2 linked regions of the Lonchura striata genome follow. The protein of the gene in region 2 binds, or shares a complex with, the protein of the main gene of each other region. Links are inferred from orthologs where the notes say so. Each region holds a gene or a part of one and is shown on either strand. Other genes may lie near its edges.

The links.
Region 1: MAP3K20 (region 2) and MAP2K3 share a complex: the UniProt entries of both Homo sapiens proteins name them as parts of the signaling complex. The link is inferred for Lonchura striata from reciprocal best matches to the Homo sapiens genes MAP3K20 and MAP2K3.

The regions. Positions count from the first base shown.
Region 1 is NC_134618.1:15,093,335-15,102,918, forward strand, and holds the start of MAP2K3 (dual specificity mitogen-activated protein kinase kinase 3), read right to left. Parts: upstream 3,824-9,584; 5' UTR 3,784-3,823; coding exon 3,768-3,783; intron 1-3,767. Other genes in the region: protein NATD1, read left to right, coding at 7,817-7,913. UniProt on the Homo sapiens protein: Dual specificity kinase. Is activated by cytokines and environmental stress in vivo. Catalyzes the concomitant phosphorylation of a threonine and a tyrosine residue in the MAP kinase p38.
Region 2 is NC_134610.1:20,930,999-20,941,514, forward strand, and holds the start of MAP3K20 (mitogen-activated protein kinase kinase kinase 20), read left to right. Parts: upstream 1-6,689; 5' UTR 6,690-6,719; coding exon 6,720-6,878; intron 6,879-10,516. UniProt on the Homo sapiens protein: Stress-activated component of a protein kinase signal transduction cascade that promotes programmed cell death in response to various stress, such as ribosomal stress, osmotic shock and ionizing radiation.

The sequences.
Region 1 (9,584 bases), on a different chromosome or scaffold from region 2:
CCAGCTCCATATGAACCCACAAGCCATCCTGAGTCATACCAGCAAAACCCCAAACTTTTTGTTGATAGAGTAGAATCACCTCCCCAGCCAACACAAGCTCCTCTCCCAGCTCTTTCCCCACCAAACAGCCAGCCCAGGCTGTGCCTTATTAACCAACACAATCAAAAACCACCTTCTGTCCAAAAACCCACAGAGCCACACATCTGCAGAGGTGTCACTTTGGGGCACAAAATCACCAGTACCAGAAAGCTGCTCCCAATGGGAGCCTCTACAAAGTACAGAAGATTCCTCCAGTAACAACAACCTTTGCAAACCAACTCCAGCTCAGCCCTGGACCACAGCTCAGAGCTGGAAAACAAAGGGATCAGCCTGCAGTGAGATTCATTATCCACTAAAAGAAAAGCAGGGAAGCATCCCTCCAGGGAGGGAAATGGATTGCTGAGGCACAGCTAAATATTTATCACATCCAGCACGATATTTTCCAGGCGCCCACCGTTATGCCAGCAGAGGAGGAAGGCAGGAACAAAGTGCTGTGCTTTCTCCAGGATCGTTACAATTAATTGGATTCAAACTCCGTGGTGCTTCAACTTGAATTAAATAATGGCTCCATGGGATCAGAGCTCCCACCTCTCCAACCCTGGGAACACCAGGCTGGTGGCTGCTCTGCCTGGACACGACGGGAGCCCAGAGCCAAAGTCCTGCTTCGGCGGGTCACGACCCACACGTGTATTTTTGGCAGAGCTGCCTTTTTTTAGGGATGGCAGCTGGAAAAGTGTGAATGGCAGATGAGACAGTGCTGGATTCACAGCCTGGATTGCCTAAGAGTGGTGTGCTCCCACAGAGGGCACGGCCAGGGCACAGCAGGGACGAGGCACCACCACTTATTTACCCACCCAGAATAGACAAGCCACGAGAACAAGCACCAGTTCATCCCCAAGTCCTGGCATTCCTCACTGCTGGCTTTTCCAAGCCTCTGTGGTGAAGGAGAGCTGCCTCCCCAGAGGCACAGCCTGGCTCCAGACAGATCCTGATCCCTCTCCCCCCAAAAGCACTTCTATTCCCAAAGGACATCTCCCTGCTAAGGAAAAACACTTGTTTTTGAATTACTCAGGCATCGGTGCTGGGTGAACCAGGACAGGACAAGCAGGTCTTCTCCCTCGAGATCCCACCCATACACTCACCCTCCCTCTTTCCCCTCCCTGCAGCTGCTTTTCCCCAGAAAACTCCCAATATTTTGGGAAACAACTGTTTCCCCAGCAGCACACTCCTGCCTGTCCCTCCAGGCATCAGGGGCCACTCAGGTCACAGCCAACAGCCCCAGGGATGGGCACAGGGATTTCCATGTGCAGGGCAGGCAGAAAATACACTTTGAGGCCCAGGGAAAAGGGTTTTGTATCCCCAGAGTCTCAGACCTTGCATCCTCCACTGTGTTTCTGCACCCACACAAAGGCTGAAAATTCCCTGAGGCTTCATCCCCTCCTGCTTTAACTTCTGGGTTACAACACCCTCTCTGCACAGCGTCCATTCACCAAAAAGGTGCAGACCTTGCTGGAAAATCACAGCCAGGCCCAGCCCCATGTTGCCAGCTGCAGCCAGAGGCTGTGTCCCTTGCAAAGTTCTGCAAGGAGGACACAGGGACAGCTCCAGAGCTTTGCTCCCAATTCCTTCCTACTGTGCCACCCAGGCCATGAGACACAGCTCGAGGGAACTTGGGTGACCTGAGAAAACAGGGAGTTTTTGCATATATGAGTAAACATCAGCCTCAACAGCGCAAGATAACACAGGAGACTTCTCCCACATACAAGATCCTGTGAGATAACTTGGATCAAACAGACAGGAGCAACGGGAAGAGGAAGAAAGAAAGCCAAAATCCTCCCTAAGAGCCACAAAATCCCCAGGAGGTGTTTATCTCCCAAGCTACGTTTAGTGCAGAGCAAAGCCCCGGCACAGCACCATTCCTGTCACCAGTGTCACGGCCAGCCACGTATCCCAAAAATCTCCCGAGGCAGGAGACAACCCCATGACTAAGCCAAAGTGATGGCAGGTGAGTTTTGGAAGGCATCTGCCACAAAAAGAGCCAACCAAGAGCTTCAACACAGCAGCCTCTGTTTACAACCCTGAGCAACACAAACCAAAGGAGAACCAGCAAAGGAAACCTGAGATTGTTCACTGAAATTCCCTAAGGAAAAGCAGGGAAATTTAGCTTAAATTCAGGCTGCCTGAAAGAGAGAGAAGCAGCTGCCATGAGCAGCAGGTACACACACTCAGACCTGTGAGCATCCCTGGAAAAACCAGCTGGGAGGCAGGTGCAAGCCAAGGAGAGGCAGGATGAGAGGAGGATCACACTCAGGGATCCACCCTCGTGCTGCTGCTGCTGTCCTGATGGAAGCAAAGGAGCTCAGGTCAGACGGGGACTCTGAGCTGCCAGCAGACACCAGCTGCTTTCAGCACACACAGGGTGACACCTCCAGCACAGGACACCAGGGTTAACTGCACGAATGAACCAGTCTGCCACAACCAACAGAAACCTCCACGCACAGAGCAGCTCCAAACCTCCTCTGAGGAAAGCACCGCGCTCCCAGGCGCTCCTCCAGGCATCACCTCTTGCTGTCAGCCACGCTGCTTCCCCCAAAATCCTCCAGGCCCAGCTTGAGCTTCATCTCCCATGGGGCACAAGTGGTCCCTGGGCCAGGCTCACCTCGTCCCTCCATCCACACATCCGCCGCTCCGGCACAGGCAGCCGAGGAAAGGTCTGCGCTCCGGTGTGCCAGCCTTTAAGAAGCCTGGATGATCCCTTCCAAGGCTGGATGGCTGGAGGCATGTGCTCCTACCTGTGAGTCAGCAGCTCCGAAAATCGCTGCTGATTCACCCCCTGCTTACACAGCAAACAGGAAACTCAGGTCCACATTCCCTCCGGATAAGACACGGATCGTTTCAAACCGGGGGGAGGTGGAGGAAAGAAAAAAAGAGTCACGGGAGGCGCGTTCATCTGCTCACATGGCTCCTGACTTCGACTTTCCAGAGCATCACTCCCGCACGGGGAAAACCCCTCGAATTTTATTCCGCGGATTCGAGAGGCAGCGGCCGCACTCCGTGCGCTCCCTCCTCCGTCCGGTGCGCGGATGGAGCCGGCTCCGGGGAGCACCGGGACACCGGCAGAGCCACCTCCCTGTCCCCATCCATCCCGGCACGTACCGCCGGCCGGTGCTCTCACCTTGCGATGGGCACCTGAGTCACCGTGCTGTGCGAATAACCCCGGTGACACACGGTCACGTTCCGCGGCTGCGGACAGCGGGACAGCAGCGCGGCACTCCCGGCACACGCCGGCACCGGGTCCCGGCCGTGCCCGGACACCGGCACGAGGCGACACGAGGGGACACGAGGCGACACGAGGCGACACGAGGCGACACGAGGCGACACGAGGCGACACAGCCCACGGCCGCAGTCCCAGCCCGCTCCGTCCCTCCCGGCCCAGCCCGGCGGGGGCTCCGCTGGCCCGCGGCTCCCAGCCCGGAGTTCCCGAGCAGCGGGAGCTCAAGGCAGGCAGGCGAAACTCGCGGCAAACAAACACAGCTCGCCTGTTCTTATCGCTCTCCCCACGCCAAACGCAGCCTCGCCCCGTCTCCCCCACCCCGCATCCCCACCGAGGGTTCGCAGCCCCCGGCATCGCGGCTCCGGGACCAGCGCAGAGGAAGCCGCGGGGAGCCCACGCCCGGCGGGCTGGGCAGCAGCCCCGGCCCCGCCGCCCCTCCCGAGCCCGCTCGTACCTCTGGGCAGGGACATGGCGCTGTGCGAGCCCGGCGGGCCCGGCCCCAGCGGCGCCCGCCGGTCCCGCCCGCCGCGGCCCCGCCGGCGGCCGCCCCGCCGGGCCCGCCCCCGCGCCGCCATTGGCCAGCGCCGCGCCGGGGGGCGTGGCCAGGGCCCCGCGCGGAAACGGCTCTGCGGTTCTCGGGCGCGGCTGTGAGGGGGAAGTGAGGCGGGCGGGTGCTGCTGCCCCTCAGGAGAGGTGGCCTCGGTGTCGCCGTCGTGGCCCCGGGGACGCTGCCCCGAGAGCGGCGACACTGCCGCGGGGTTGGGGCGCCGAGCATCCCCCCCTGTGCTGCTCCTCGGCCCTCACCTCCTCTGTCAGCTGAGGGTGGTCACTCACGCCTCCCGTGGGTCCCGCGTGCCGTGGGTGCCAGCGGCGTGTCCGGCTGGGAAATGGCCGGGGAGCCAAGGGAGCGGCCGGAGCTGTGTCAGGGGGGTTTGGGCTGGATATCAGGGAAAGGAAATTCCCCCCAGAAGGTGACCAGGCACTGCCCAGCCTCCCCAGGGGATGGGCACAGCCCCAAGGCTGCCACAGCTCCAGGAGTGTTTGGACAACGTTCCCAGGCATAGGGTGGGATTTGGGGGCCTGGAGTTGGACTGGATGATCCTTGTGTGTCCCTTACAGCTCAGGATGCTCTGATTCCATGGTTAATTCCTCCCTGAGTCACTGAGGAATCAACCCCTCCCAGACGTGGCACATCCTGGGGTAAGGATGCTCCCACAGCCACCCGAGCTGGGCTGCAGGCAGAAATGCTGGATACGATGTGAGAGATGCAGCTGAAAAAGCAAAAAAAATGAGATTCCAAGTGCCATTTTCTGGCTGGAATTCTTCGTGTGATCCATAAAGACCAAAGGAGGAGTTGGAGGGGTGGCAACTGCTGGCAGCACTGGTGAGATCGCAGCTGCTCTGCCACAGCCAGCTCTCAGCTTTGCAGAGAGTTTGGGATAAATCTGAGGACTGGAAAAACCTCCTCAAAGCCAGGCAGTAGAAGGGATTCGCTGCCAGAGGGAAGGAGCTGCAGGAGTTGGGATCTGTGGCTGCACGGGTGCCTCAAGCACCAAAGGCACCAGATCCAGCTGCACACTGAGGGTGGAAGAGCTCAAATGCAACATCAATTACAGGTTTTTAGCGGGGAGAGCAATTACCTTCCCCAGAGAGGTCGCAGATTCGCCACCTTTCAAGTCTTTCAACACAGACGAGGAGGAGTCTTTCCAAAAAAGCCACTGCTCTGCAGCCCAGCCGCGGGTCAGCAGCGCTGATGCAAGAGCTGTGGTGTCAGTGCAGGGCTGGGCCAGCTGAGGGGCCCTTTCTGACCTTTATCCACACGGATCTTGGAGCCAGCAGCGGGGTTTGAACTGATCCACACAGCTCTGGGCTGAGGCAGTGCTTGGGTGTGAGTTTTGGGGGGTCTGTGGCAGAGCAGAGCATCACCAGCTCTTTTACAAATGGGGAGCTGTGGGACCGGCTCTGACAGCTGGCCCTGCTGCTGGCAGCACCTGGGGTGTCACTGCGAGCTTGGGGACATGGCCCTGCTGTCCCCAAATGTGCACCATCCCCCTCCTGCATCCCTGGAGGCTGCTACATCCAGGGCTGGATGAAGCAGTGACTGGATTTGAGTCTCTGGCTCTCAATCCCAGGGGTGAGAGGGGACACACAAGTGTCACCAAGGCTGCCAGGCCTTCCAGCACAGGAGCTCTGCAGGGCACACAGGGAAATTGGGAGCACTCAGCATCCAGATCCAACAGGGTGGGAAGGCAGGGAGCACACAGACCCCCACGAGCTGTGAGGAAGGCACCAGAAGCACCCTCGAGGTCACCTCCCAGCCATGGTAGGGCTTGGGGATCTCCTGGGGGACCTCTCCACCTCTTCTGCAGCTTCCCATGGCTGCTTCTGCCTGCCCCTCCTCGTCTGAGCCGCTGTCCCAGGGAATCAGCACAGGCACAGGATCCCCATGGAGCCCGAGTGCTCACAGAGATTTTGGCAAGTTTTGCTGCAGTTTTGGCACCCATGGAAAGGCTCTCCATGCTTTCAGGGGCTGTAGGTGAACCTTTGGCTCTGGGTCAGGGCGATCACCGAGGGCAGTAAGGTGTTACACTGTGACATGAAATAACTCACAGAAGCAGGTTGGATGTAAAAGGAAAGAAAAAATAACTCAAAAAAGTAAACTTTATTTTCTGACTCTACTATATATACATTAGCAAAAATGGTAGTGGATTGGAGGGTGAAACTGCCACCTCTCCAGCTGCACTGGTCAAGCTAACAGTCTATAAATTCTCTCCACCCACAAAGAAGAATGTAAAACAGTTATTATTTACATGAACATGTGTGAGAAAACTCAGTAGAAATATGTAAATATTAGAAGGCATAGGAACTTTTAGAAGAACTTTAAAACTCTCCAAAGAACAGGGTGACAGTAAGGAGTTGCTCACCCATGTCTGGGCAAAACCTGCTTCTCCTTCCTCCTCTCTCCTAAAACTTCAGCCCTGCTGTGTCCTGAGCATCCCTGTGTGCTGGAGGGCATCAGCCCTCCCTGACAGCTCTGGGATCATGCCAGTTATCCCTCCCCTTCCTCCCTGCCACACGCCAGCCGTGCTGGGCCTGGCTGCTGCAGGCTTTGCATTCCCTGCGCTCCCCTGCTGTTTGTGCCTCCCTGCAGCAGCACACAGCTGCCAGGGAGGGGATGGGGTGAAGGACAACACCTCCTCACCAACATTCATGGAGAAGGAAGGGAATTTACCCCTCTGCCCAGCAGACACCCAGTCCTTGGGGCCAGGCTCGATGGGAGCGGGGAAAGAGCAGGAGACCAGAGCAGAAAACCAGTGCGGGGCCAGTAAAGGACTGGTAAAAAACAGTGCAGGACCAGTACAGAGCCACTACAGAACCGATGTGGGGTCAGTGTGGGACCAGTACAGAACCCGTACGGGACCAGCACAGAACCAGTGCAGAATTAGTGTGGGACTGGTACAGAACAGTACAGAACCCATGTGGGACCAGCACGGAACCAGTGCAGAATTAGCGTGGGACCAGTACAAAACCAGTGTGCAATTAGTGCAGGACCAGAACGGGACCAGTACAGAACCAGTACAGAACTCGTGCAGGACCAGTATGGGACCAGCACAGAACCAGTGTGGAATTAGTGTGGAATCAGTGTGGGACCGGTACAGAACTGGTACAGAAACCGTGTGGGACCAGTACAGAACCAGTGTGGAATTAGTGCAGGACCAGAACGGGACCAGTACAGAACTAGTACAGAACCTGTGCAGGACCAGTGCCGAACCAGCACAGAACCAGTATGGGACCAGCACAGAACCAGTGTGGAATTAGTGCAGGACCAGAACGGGACCGGTACAGAATCAGTACAGAACTCGTGTGGGACCAGTATGGGACCAGCACAGAACCAGTGTGGAATTAGTGTGGAATCAGTGCGGGACCGGTACAGAACCAGTGTGGAATTAGTGCAGGACCAGAACGGGACCGGTACAGAGCTAGTACAGAACCTGTGCAGGACCAGTGCCGACCCAGCACAGAACCAGTATGGGACCAGCACAGAACCAGTGCGGAATTAGTGTGGGACCAGTACAGAACCAGTGCAGAATTAGTGTGAGACCAGTGTGGGACCGGTACAGAACCAGTACAGTTACCTGTGCGGGACCAGTGCCGAACCAGCACGGAACCAGTGCGGAATTAGTGCGGGACCAGCGCCGAACCAGCACAGTACCAGTGACAAATCTGCACAGAACCAGTGCGGAATTAGCACGGGACCAGTACCGAACCCGCGCCGTTCCGGCGGCCGCTGGTGGCGGCGCCGCCCGCGCGGGGGCGCCTGGGCTGCCTGCGGTCCCCACGGCGGCGTTGGCGTTGCCCCTTTAAGGGCCGCGCGGCCGTACCAAAACAAAAGCGCGGCGCGGCCATTGGCTGCGGGGCGGGCACGTGCCGCACAGCTGGGGCTTCCTGCGGCCGCGGCCGCGCCGGGCCCGACCGCGCCTCGGCACCGGCACCGGCACCGCCATGGCGCACTCCGCGCCGCTCGGCCTCCTGGAGCAGGGCTGCCCCATCCAGGTGGAGCACGATCGCAAGCGGCGGCAGTTCACCGTGCGGCTCAACGGTAAGGGGCGGCGCTCGGGGCTCCCGGGACGTTACCGCTGCCCTCCGCCCTCCGCCCCGGTCCGGCCGCGCTGGCCGCTCCGGATCCCCGTTCCTCTTCAGCTCTCGCTGTTCCCCCCCTTCGCCCCACCCCACGTTGTCTCTCCCCCCTTTCCCCTCCCTGTTCTTCCTCCCCGTTGCTCTCCCCTTTTTTCTTCTTCTTCCTGCCCCTTTTTCCCGTTCTCACCGATTTCCCCCGTTTCTCCCGGTTCCCCCTCCTGCCGTGCCGCTGAGTCCCGCTGCATTTCCCCCGTGCTCTCCGCCCTGCCGCGGTGTGACCCCCCGCCCCAGCCCTTCCTGCACCCCAAAACCTTCTCGCAGGGGATGCGGCATCGCTGGGCTCCCTCGCTTGGGGTGTGTGTGCAGCCCGGTGGGGACACGGGCAGCTTGGGGGGCACTGCCCCGGTCCCCCCGGGAGCAGGTGCCTGCGGGGGATGTGGGGGTGCTGGGAACCGGGGCCCCTCTGGGGATGTTCCTTCAGGGAAACCCCAGCACGGTGGGTGCCGCGGTTCTGTAGGACCAACGACACGGATCCAAGCTGTGACAGCCACCTGTGGAGCTCTGGTGACACAGTGACCCCCAAAAAGTCCGTCACATATTGGGTGGAGTGAACAAAGAAAAAAAAAAAGTAGGTGCCACTAAAATTTCTCTGTGGTGCACTGATTCTTTCCCAGCCTTCATCTTAATGGTTAATTACAGATAGTCAACGATCCCGGCATCTCTTTCCCATCCATTTGTCATACTGAGAACTACTCTGGGTAAAACTGCCTCGCTGCCCTGCAGAAATTGCAGGGTAGCTGCCTTAAAAAAAAAAAAAAATAGCATGTAGTTCAGAAATCATAGGGAATGCAGGAGGCTTCGTCAATAAAACAACAAGAATAGTCCAGATTTTATTTTAGACTTCTCTTTCCCCCCACCCCATTTTCATTTCAACCACTAATTACAAAGTGCAGGCTGGAGGCTCGGCAGTGGTGGAGCAAGGAAGGAGGAGACAGTGCAGAGAAAACAATTTCACCAACTGCTTATTTCAGATTTCAGCCTGAGATCAAACGAGATCCCAGGTGCTGGGTCCCCACTGCCACCATCAGAGCATTGTCCCAGCCAGTGAAGTTGGTGTCTGCAGGAAATAGAGGGGACAGCCAAGGGTCAAGAATTATTAGGGAAATGTAATCTTTTATCGTGGTTTTCTGGATAAAAGCTCTGCCAGCCACACCATGGGCCCAGCAGCGTTTGGTGGCTGAGCAGGGATGAGTCGTGACTGGGGAGGGTGAACTTTGAGAGGGAGAGAATCAGCTGTGGGAGTTGTGTGTGAATCAGCACAGAAACTTCTGATTCAGCAGGGGGTCATGGCATCACAGAATCCCAGGATGGTTTGGGTTGGAAGGATCCTAAAGCTCATCTCATTCCAGCCTTGGGCAGGGACACCTTCTGTGTGCCCAGACATGGGCCAGGTTGCTCCAAGCCCCATCCAGTGTGGCCGTGGGCTCACCCAGGTGAACCCCCATGGTCAAGGTTGTGTTTTTTCTGGGAGTTCAGGGAGTCTGAGTCCTTTTTTGTGAGTTCAGCCACGCCAGGCAGCTGAGCTGAGCAGTGTCCTGCTGTGATGGTGGCCGTGCTGCTGTGCTGACTGACT
Region 2 (10,516 bases):
TGTTAATAATGTTAACCCTGGAGAACCTGGCTCACTGTGAGGGGAAAACAGAAACATGGACTAAACCGAGGCCCAGGTCCTGCAGTCTGGCCTGTGCCAGGACTAAGCTATGCTGTAGGCCTGGATGCAGGCTTAGCTGCCTTGTCTTTCTTGCGAGTATACTATTGGCAGGCATCATTTACAGGTGAAGTGACCAGTTTAGGGTTTTCTGAGATAAAATGTTTTTTAATTAATGTGAAATCTTTAAAGTCTTCAGTCTCTGCCATTGACACAATTTGGCTTTAAAATTATTCTTTTCCTCAACTGTACTCAAATTGTTTAGCTGGAGTTGAGCTCTTTTTCTGTAGCAATGGTTATATAAATTAAAATAAAATTAGAAATGTTATTAATGGAAGTTATGCAGAATTCTTAGGTTGTGACAAAGTACAGGCTCAAATGTTATTGAGTCTGTAACTAAGGTAGGCAGAGCTACGCCTCCAGTCTCACTATCTGCGGGACTGCTACTCAGCCTGATTAAGGAAGTTTAGGAGTTGTAGGGGTTGTTGGCTTTATTTTAAGTCATTGGGAGATTAGAGGATTAGGATATATTTAATTTGGATTTGTGCTTGGAGTTTGTTTTCATCTTATCGATCAACAGTTCATGATATGATTAAGGGAGTTTTTTAATTTATAATTTTTTTTCTGCAGTATCTTTTGCAGCTCTATGTCACTAACTCATTTTCTGTTTTCTGTTTGGTCAAGACAGTGGTTAATCATGTTTTGGTGTTTAAGGGTGGGTTTTTAATTGGAAATTTTTTTTTTTTTTTTAATATATATATTTTTAAACTCTGTATAAATATACTGCTGAAAAATCCAGGTTGGTATGCTCAAGGACTGCAGGCCTTGTTGGATACAAAGGATGATTTGGGACTAAAAATGGATGGTCAAAGATCCTGAAAGCAAATGGGCTGTTTTGCCAAATAAGGAAACTTGGCACATTCAGCTGTGTATTTTAAGATAGCACAAGTGTGGTGTGCTACTACTTTATTGGCAATATGTTGGCAGTGTGCCTTCCTGCAAGAAGCACTGAATCCTACTTTGTGGAACCACACAGTAAAGTGAGGGGCAGGGAGTTGCATGTTTGTTTCCCGTAATAAATTACAAAGGCTGTTCCTGCAGTAATTGAATACTTGAGTAGCGTCAGGTGCACGTGCAAGATGAGAGATGCAATTTTCGGTTTCGCAGCCACGCACTAAACAAAATATGAGTTGCAGTTACTGTGCAGTCTGTAAATTATTTCCTCCCTTCTGTCTTTATGTCCCTCAGTGGAAGCTCTCTGTACTCTGGGAGCAGTAGCTGAATGACAAACAGAAGGGACTTCTGTTTTCTATGTGGAATAAAGCAGAGTGTTGTGCATGGCAGCACTTCCCCTACATTGCAGTTTGTAGGGAGCTGGGATGTGTTGAGTTCTTCCAGTGTTGCTGTGCTAAGATGCAGGGCAGCCTGCAGCAGTGTCCTGCTTGCCTGGGGGATTCCCTCGCCTTGGGAGCCTCTAGAGGAAACCGCAGACGTGGGACCTTTGCAGGGCCAGGACCTTCACATGGCTTAATCCCCTTAAGTGCTGTAATCGCAAGAAGCCAGTGATGGTGGATGGTTTCCTACACCTGCATCACTGATGTGCTGAACTGAGCTTGTGGTGACATAATGTGACTTCACTTGCTGCAGAGTGACTCTGTGTAATAGTCCTGACATGTTGTATACTATTGTTAAATTATAATTTCAAATGTGAAACACTGTCAAATGCAATTCAGATCTCTTACTTTTTGGTATGAAATGAGCAGCTTCCAACAGCATACTCAAATATAAATTACTATGTAGAAAACAAAGAGCCAGAAGAAGATACAGATGTTGCTGCAAGATTACAAGCTCATGCTAACTATTAGAAATAAAACAGGAAAAGGAAAAAAATTCTTTTACCCCCAGGAATATCCCATAGGAATAACTGAAATAACCAGCAGTTTAATTATTTCCTGAAATACCTGTCATTCACTATTTCCGATTTGTCATGTTTTCATTTAACTGAGAGCAAGAAACAGTCAATGCAGCGTTTCCCTGCTACACAGTGATGGTACTTCAACACCTGAAATCGTGAGTGGTGAAGGAGGGTGCGGGTGCCAACCCCCCCTGAGCTGTGTGCAGGGGAGTTGCTGTAAGGTCCAGGCCTGGAGGGGGTGTTACAGCGGGCTGCTCTCCTGTCTGCAGAAGTGTAAGATGCAAAGAAGTGCCACACACTGTTGGAATGCTGTGCTTGGTTCAGATGCAAGTGGAAGACTATAGTTTAATGAAATGCGTGATGTTTTGTTTTTTTTCTCTTAACTAGTGTTACAAACTCAGATTGTTAAATATTTTTAAAACAGGATGACAAGTTAATAAGTGTGTGTGGATTTGTCACTTGCAATTTTTAATCTAAACAGTTGTTTTCTCAAACATAACACAGACTGATCTTTCTAATTGAGGATCACCTATCTTGAATTCAAAAACATGGAGTAATGTTTAAACAGGTCTGTTGTTTCATCTAGTAAAAGAAAACTAATGCAGGCTGGTTTTAATTACAGATCTCTTACTAAAGAGTGTCTCTTCTAAATCTCCTCTGCTTTCTCTGGAAAAAAAAAACATCTGGAACAACCAACATCCAGCATCTGGATGCCAACCAATGAATAATTCTTTAAATAACATTAACTTATTGTATGCCATGTAGCATCTCTACAACTACCTAAAAAGAGGTTGTGGTCAGGCAGGGATGAACCCCTTCTCGCTGACAAACAGTGACAGGACTAGAGGACATGGTCTTAAGATGTATCAGGGGATGTTTAGGCTGGACATGAGGAGAAATTTCTTCACAGAAAGGGTGATTAAACATTGGAATGGACTGCCCAGGGAAGTGGTGGAGTCACTGTCCCTGGAGGTGTTCAAGGAAAGACTGGATGTGGCACTCAGTGCCATGGTCTAGTTGACAAGGTAGCATTTGGTCATAGATTGGACTCAGTATCTCAGAGGTCTTGCCACCTGATTCCTTGTGTGATCCTGTGATCTGCAGCTGGTTGCCTGCTGTAGGTAAATTTGAAACTGAGGTGTTTAAAGAATGAACGGTAGCTTCTGCAAGTGCTTGTGTGCCAGACACTGCATTGTGATTCTATGAAAATTGAGATAAAGTTTGAAGCAGTAAGGAGGACCTATCAGAAAAGTACTCATTTGTATTTGTGAAGTGTCTGGTGTGCATGCTATTCTCTGCTAGTGTAATTTTCAGAAATCAAATAATTTACTAGTTTGGATGGTTAATTTGGTGGCTCTGGGTGAACAGTAATGTTAAATAATTTGACAGCTCTTCAAAGCTATTGAATTCAGATAGTGAATGCCAGAAATTTCCTTCCTGGGATATGTTTTTCTTTTCACATGGTTTCCTTTTCCTTCTGCCATCCCAAATGCAATGATCTGTTTTCAGCTATTCCCACCTTCCTGTTAAATTTATGGTCTAGTTGGTGCGTATGCTTTTGCCTGTGAGTAACATCACTCCTAGCCAATTCTGTTGTCAGTAAGGAAATAATTCACTCGAGTGTGATTACCTGTGTGCATAAATATGTGCAGGGCTGTGGCCTTAAATTGTGAGGTTTTTGAGTTAGGAAGTCAGTCTGTTTTATTTGTCTGTAAAGTGTCCCATATGCTTAAGACACCATGTGCAGAGCATGAACTTGGAGTAACTGCTGGAGTAAACAATGCAAATGAACATTTGTTTCTGAAGATCTGCTAATTAAGCAGCAATGGCAAGGAGCAAAACATTAAAACATCTCTTGGTTTGTAGGATTGACCAATTTCCTTTGAGCTTTCTCTAAGAAAATGTGTGCAGGCTGTGCAAAAGATGACTATGGGATGCAGGAAGTTACAACAGCAACAAGGTTAAAACAAGAACAGAAGGTCAGCAGGACAGTTCAGGCACTTGTATTAGGAAAGAGGCTGAAGAGCATTGGAAGAATGGACTTTATTTCATATCCTAGTGGTAACTCCTGCTCTGACTTGCAGCTCTGGGAAGAGAGCATTCATGTTCCCTCTTCGGGAGCCCTGCGTGCTGGCTGTCAGTGAAAGGCTTGAAGTCTGCTCCTTGCTAAAAACCTTTCAGTATACATAGTAAAGTTGTCATCGTCTGGTCAGTGTTTTTATTTTTCCTTATGGGTGGTCAAGAGGTATTAAATGAAGCAGGCAGTTTCAGAGAAGGCTCTGTAACGTGTGTAGAAAAGTGTTGATATCATAATCTCTCATTTGGAGAATAGCGGCAGTCAAATAGTGCCAGAAATTCCTGATCAAATGATATCTCAAAATTTTATCTTAGTTTTACAATCAGGAGAGACAGGGGGCAAATAATGCCTTTGTGTATGTCACAGAAGGGACTGGCATAAAGAGATTCTGGCAGTCAGCACTACACAGGTGTGTTTCGGACAACACATAACATGTCTTTTATCTCAAAAATCCCTATGGAATGGAAGTTCCCCAAAGACGTAGTCTATTTTGGTACTGTAATTTACCAGTGAAATTGGATGTGTAGTTTTCACCATCAACCCAAAATCTCTGGCTCTTTTTTTGCTTGTTTTATTAAAACTAATCTCTCATTTTATGCTGATAGGTTTGCTGTCATTAATTACAAGTATAGTAACGTTTTCTGGTAATTAAAACTACTTTGTCTAGGCTGGTGCATCTGAAGTGAACCTGCAGCAGACTTGCAGGTGGTTCTGGAGTATGCTGTGTCCTGCAGTCCCACTGAAGACCTGAGCTTTCTGATTTTGTATCATTAAAAAAAGAAACCTAAAATTAGTCATTGTTCATGCATTTAGGTGATAATGTTTCTTGAAATTCGCTACAGCCATAAGCTTTATCACCGTGAAATCTCGGGGAAGGACGTTCTGTTCCCCTGTCAGCAGATTTGGGATCATCTCTTGAAACTGCCGACACCAGTCTTGGCACAGGCTGCAGAATTTCACATATTGTAACCCAGATGAATTACCCTGTACTTGCGCTTTGTTACAACGTGCAAACAGAACTGAGTCACTCGGGAAGAGAGATTTACCACGGCCACGTTTTTCCACATCCTTGCATCAAGCTCTCGGACCTCGCCCGGAGCGCCGTTGGGGCGCGGTGTGTGCCCGGGTGCCGCTGCCCGCCCGGGTGCGGTGAGCCCGTGAGCCCGGGTGCGGTGAGCCCGTGAGCCCGGGTGCGGTGTGGCTGTGAGCCCGGGTGCGGTGTGCCCGTCAGCCCGGGTGCCGTGTGGCTGTGAGCCCGGGTGCGGTGTGGCCGTGAGCCCGGGTGCGGTGAGCCTGTGAGCCCGGGTGCGGTGAGCCCGGGTGCGGTGAGCCCGTGAGCCCGGGTGCGGTGAGCCCGTGAGCCCGGGTGCGGTGAGCCCGGGTGCGGTGTGGCCGTGAGCCCGGGTGCGGTGTGCCCGTGAGCCCGGGTGCGGTGAGCCCGGGTGCGGTGTGGCCGTGAGCCCGGGTGCGGTGTGCCCGTGAGCCCGGGTGCGGTGAGCCCGGGTGCGGTGTGGCCGTGAGCCCGGGTGCGGTGAGCCCGGGTGCGGTGAGCCCGGGTGCGGTGTGCCCGTGAGCCCGGGTGCGGTGAGCCCGGGTGCGGTGTGGCCGTGAGCCCGGGTGCGGTGTGCCCGTGAGCCCGGGTGCGGTGTGGCCGTGAGCCCGGGTGCGGTGAGCCCGGGTGCGGTGTGGCCGTGAGCCCGGGTGCGGTGTGGCCGTGAGCCCGGGTGCGGTGAGCCCGGGTGCGGTGTGCCCGTGAGCCCGGGTGCGGTGTGGCCGTGAGCCCGGGTGCGGTGTGCCCGTGAGCCCGGGTGCGGTGTGGCCGTGAGCCCGGGTGCGGTGTGGCCGTGAGCCCGGGTGCGGTGAGCCCGGGTGCGGTGTGCCCGTGAGCCCGGGTGCGGTGTGGCCGTGAGCCCAGGTGCGGTGTGCCGGTGAGCCCGGGTGCGGTGTGCCGGTGAGCCCGGGTGCGGTGAGCCCGTGAGCCCGGGTGCGGTGTGGCCGTGAGCCCGGGTGCGGTGAGCCCGTGAGCCCGGGTGCGGTGTGCCGGTGAGCCCGGGTGCGGTGTGCCCGTGAGCCCGGGTGCGGTGTGCCCGTGAGCCCGGGTGCGGTGTGGCCGTGAGCCCAGGTGCCGTGTGGCTGTGAGCCCGGGTGCGGTGTGCCGGTGAGCCCGGGTGCGGTGAGCCCGTGAGCCCGGGTGCGGTGAGCCCGTGAGCCCGGGTGCGGTGTGCCCGGGTGCGGTGAGCCCGGGTGCGGTGTGCCCCGTGCCCCGCGCGGGGCCGACAGGCCGGCGTGCCCGGCGTGCCTGAGCGGGCGGCAGCCCGGGCGACTGCGGCTGCCGGGCTGTCCACGGGGAAGGCAGCCACGGGCCTGCCTTCTGCAGAGCTGCTTCCAAGGTGTTCCGGAAACGCCAGGCTTGCTCTGAGGAATACTCTTAGTTGTTTCTGTCCCCCAACTCCTCCTAATAGATTATGCAAACTGTAGCACACCCTGTGAAATGCGCGTTCTCAGGCTCTTTTCTTCCTGTGGCCTGTGGATTTTACTGTAGTGTGCTTGTGATTATGATTTTGTGGTGACTGAGCATGGGTAAGAAAGTCCATAAATCTTTGGAGCATGTGCATTAATAAAAACTTTTCTCTTCACAGGTTTTGCTGTGGTATATTTTGTCATTATGAGATGTCGTCTACCAGTGCTTCATTTGTGCAAATTAAATTTGATGACTTGCAGTTTTTTGAGAACTGCGGTGGAGGAAGTTTTGGGAGTGTCTACCGAGCCCGATGGATTTCTCAGGACAAGGAGGTGGCAGTAAAGAAGCTGCTCAAAATAGAAAAAGAGGTAAAAGTTTACTTTTCATTCATTGTCTGCTGTGGTAACCACAGAAATTATTTTCTAGTGTTTTCTATCCTCTAGGTAATGCAGGCAAACTGCCTTGGGATTTTTGTTTGTTTAATTACAAAACTCCATAAGCGGCGATGTTACAGTATAGACATAACTAGCAGTCCTAGAGGAGGGGGCTAATTCAAAGCACTGTTGTTTAACCCTTCATTGTTGTTGCCCACTTTTCTTGTTTTGCAGTTCTCCTCTACCTGAGGAGAGCTTGCTGTGCCTGTGGAGCTACTAATTTCCCCTTGATACCACCAGCATGTTGCTGATAGGAAGAGGTAGCGTCCCTGTCATTACCTGATTCCATTTTGTCCTCTTGATGTCTGCTCTGTGGTTCACATCTCTATGTTCACTACAGGCTTAGAGTTGTCTCTTCCCTGCCTGATGAAGATTTTGATCTAGGGCTCCACTAGCTCCTAGTTAGTCATAGCCACATAGTCATAGCTTGTTTTGCAACAAGGTAGTTTTAACCCTAACTGTTCTGCCAGTCACCTTCCCTTGGGGTGTCTTGTGACCTGGAAAGGCAGATGGGTCCTTGGCAGTCCTGGGGAAAAAGGCAGAATTAGCTAAGTGCACCTTTAGCAGCTAAGGTTGGTTTGTTGTTTGGTTTTTTTCCGAAGCTTTTTAAATTTGCCTAAAAGTCCTTTTGACCCCTCAGCTTCGTATAGTTTCAGCAGAGATGTGGTGTATGTGGTCCTCACAGAGCTCCAGTCTGCCTGCTGGTCAGCACCACCGATGGAGCAGTGAGCACAGCCCAGTGTAGTGATGGACAGCAGAGTTAGTGGACTGTTGTTCCATCATGACTGTATGTAATGTCTGTACAGTCTCCTCAGACTATTGTAGGAAGACAGTTACAAGCTGGAGGACAGCAGAGCAGTGCTAGGCATAATAGACTTAGTAAATAATCAGACACTAAAGTAAATCCACTGAGGCAGCAGCCGAGCTGCCATGATTGTGTCATGCTTAGTGATGTAATAAGCATGTTTGATCATGATTAAGCGTGTTGCTCGTTAAAATAATGTAAAAGGATCTCAAGATTTTTCTAGGACAATGGAAGATTTATACATTCTGTCCAGTGTCAGTTTGTGCTGTTCTCTTTTATTTCTACTAATCGTTAATATCAAAAGATACATGAAAAGTAAAATTTGTGCGATGCAGTATCAGTAGTGTGCTCCTTAAAAATAACCTGGCTGGCAGGTCTCAGTCAGGGTTAGTGAAATACCTTTGTTGTACATGTGTGTTTCTGAAGGAGTTACACCTGTATGTGTGCTAGACCTGTTGTTATGTACTTAAAGCATTTTTTGAAAGTAAATTTAAAACCAATATTAATATGTCTTGGGATGGCATAAAACTTAATGGAATGGGAAAGGATGGAAGAAGGAAAATCCTGTGTATTGCTTGACACAGTTGGATCATTCAACAAAAATAATTTTTTTAAGACAGTGCAACACAAGCTTAAGCTTGGAGTAGCAAGGAACACAGGCTTTACAGTAGGAAAAGGAAACCATATGCCAGAAAGAGCTTATAATAATGTAAGGGTTTATTTAGGGATTAATGAAGACTTGCAACTCAGTAAGAGTCCATATCATGGTGCAGTTAGGCAAATTAGGTTAATTGCTTGGTATATGCAAATCAGGATCAAGTAATTTGTAACAACCAGGTGTGCTTTATCTTGATATATAGCACTGGGAAAATTGTTGTTAGGCATATGTGGTTCTGTTCTGTTTAAAAGAGTGTCAATGAGCTGTAAAAGCAGCCCAAGGGAATCTGCAAAACACAGAGCGGAAAGTTAGTAAGAATGGGGGTGTCAAGAGGAGGTGATGAATATCATCCATCAGGATGAGTTGACAGAAGTGCCTTCCATCATGAATTTGTTTATTTTTCTTCGGACTGGTTATAATTTGCAACTTAAACTAGACAAGACAGGTTATGGGAACAGCTTGGTATGGGCACTTTCTCTTGAAAGTTTTCTGGAAAAGCAGCGGAGAGGCAAGTGGTGATGCCTTAAATAAGTCTGACAAGCTTTGGCAGAACTTTTCTGTCAACAGCCTTAGAGAATTTAAAAGTAAGAGCCTACATACAAAAATTGCATTTTCATATGGAGAAAATGATGGGATAGTTTCATCTAGTGCAAAAAGTTATTGCAAGAACTAGTGCTTCAAATCTGTAGCCAGAAAAATTAGAATGGAAAGAAAAGCACAAATTATCAGGAGTGAGGATGAGTAACACTTGGCACAGACTACAAATGAAAGGAGTGAAGATGGAGTATCCTTTTCATCTGTCTTCTCACTGAGATCTCTTTTTAGACAATTGTTTTTGTCCAATTGTTGAGCTCAACACAGGAGCATTTTGCTGAAGTATAGTAGCCTGTGCTGCACCAGAGGCCAACTTGGTGGCCAAAAGGTCTTCTGACCCTAATGGCTCTCACATGTATACATATGTAGCATCTTCATCTGAAGTGATGACAATAATGAATGTCTGTGACTGAACTGCACTGAAGTCATGGTGAATTAATGACTCTTCTGATATCAATACAAAAATAACTTGCTGTAACTCTTGTGTGTCTGTTTAGTAGGTACTTGGATGCACTTAGTCCAGAAAACTAATTATTCTGTGCATTTGGACAGTGCTCTCAGGCACTCTTGGGGATGGTCCTGTGTGGGGCTGAGAGTTGGATTTGATGAACTTTGTGGGTCCCTTCCAGCTTGGGATAATCTGAGATTCTACTCTTTCTAGTTTATTTGGAAGGAAGTGTCCTTTTATCTCCATGACTGCATGTCTTATAGTTCTGTTAACTGCTGCCAATAATCCATAACAACTGATTAGAGGGAAAACATAGGAGGGTTGTGAAAAGCTTGCTCAGAGGCATTTCATGCTAGCCAAGTCCAAGGGAGCAAGCCAAGTCAATAGAGCTGTAGTATCATTCTGCAAATATGTTGTATCTATGTGTAATTTTATTAAACAAGCCAATCACAACCAGCAAATATTGTGAAGGTTTTATATTAGCCAAGGGGTTAACAAGTTCTAACATGTGAAACAAAGCAATTTGTGTTCCAGCATAGCATACTAGAATATGTGCTTATAAAAACTTACAAATACTTGGAAGAGTGTTGCTTAGACAGATTGCTTTGAAACTCTTTGAAATCTGAGAAATACCTCTGCAAGGCATTAACTTTTTTTTAAGACAGGCAATAAAATGCAGCTTTGTGGGAAGAGATGCAGCTTTGTGTGTGTATGTGAAAAGATACACGTAAACAGGTCTGCTAGGAAGAAAATATATATGCTACAAGGTCTTGGTTAGAATATCAGATGTGAAACTGGACAGGAATTGTGCTGATTAAGTAAAACATAGGAACATGGCCTGAGTGATTAAATAGCAGCAAAACAAAGATTAAGATGCCACATCTAGTACGACCACTATAGTGGTTTTAGGTTTAAAGTAGGAAACAGGAGTTCCTAGTGAATTGTTTTATAGAAAATGAAGCTGTCGGCATGATATTTATGATGCATTTGGCAGAGTGTAGGATCCTGTAGCAGGATCAGTCCTTTTGCCCTGAGTGATAATTGTGTCCACTCAGTGAAGAAAATTG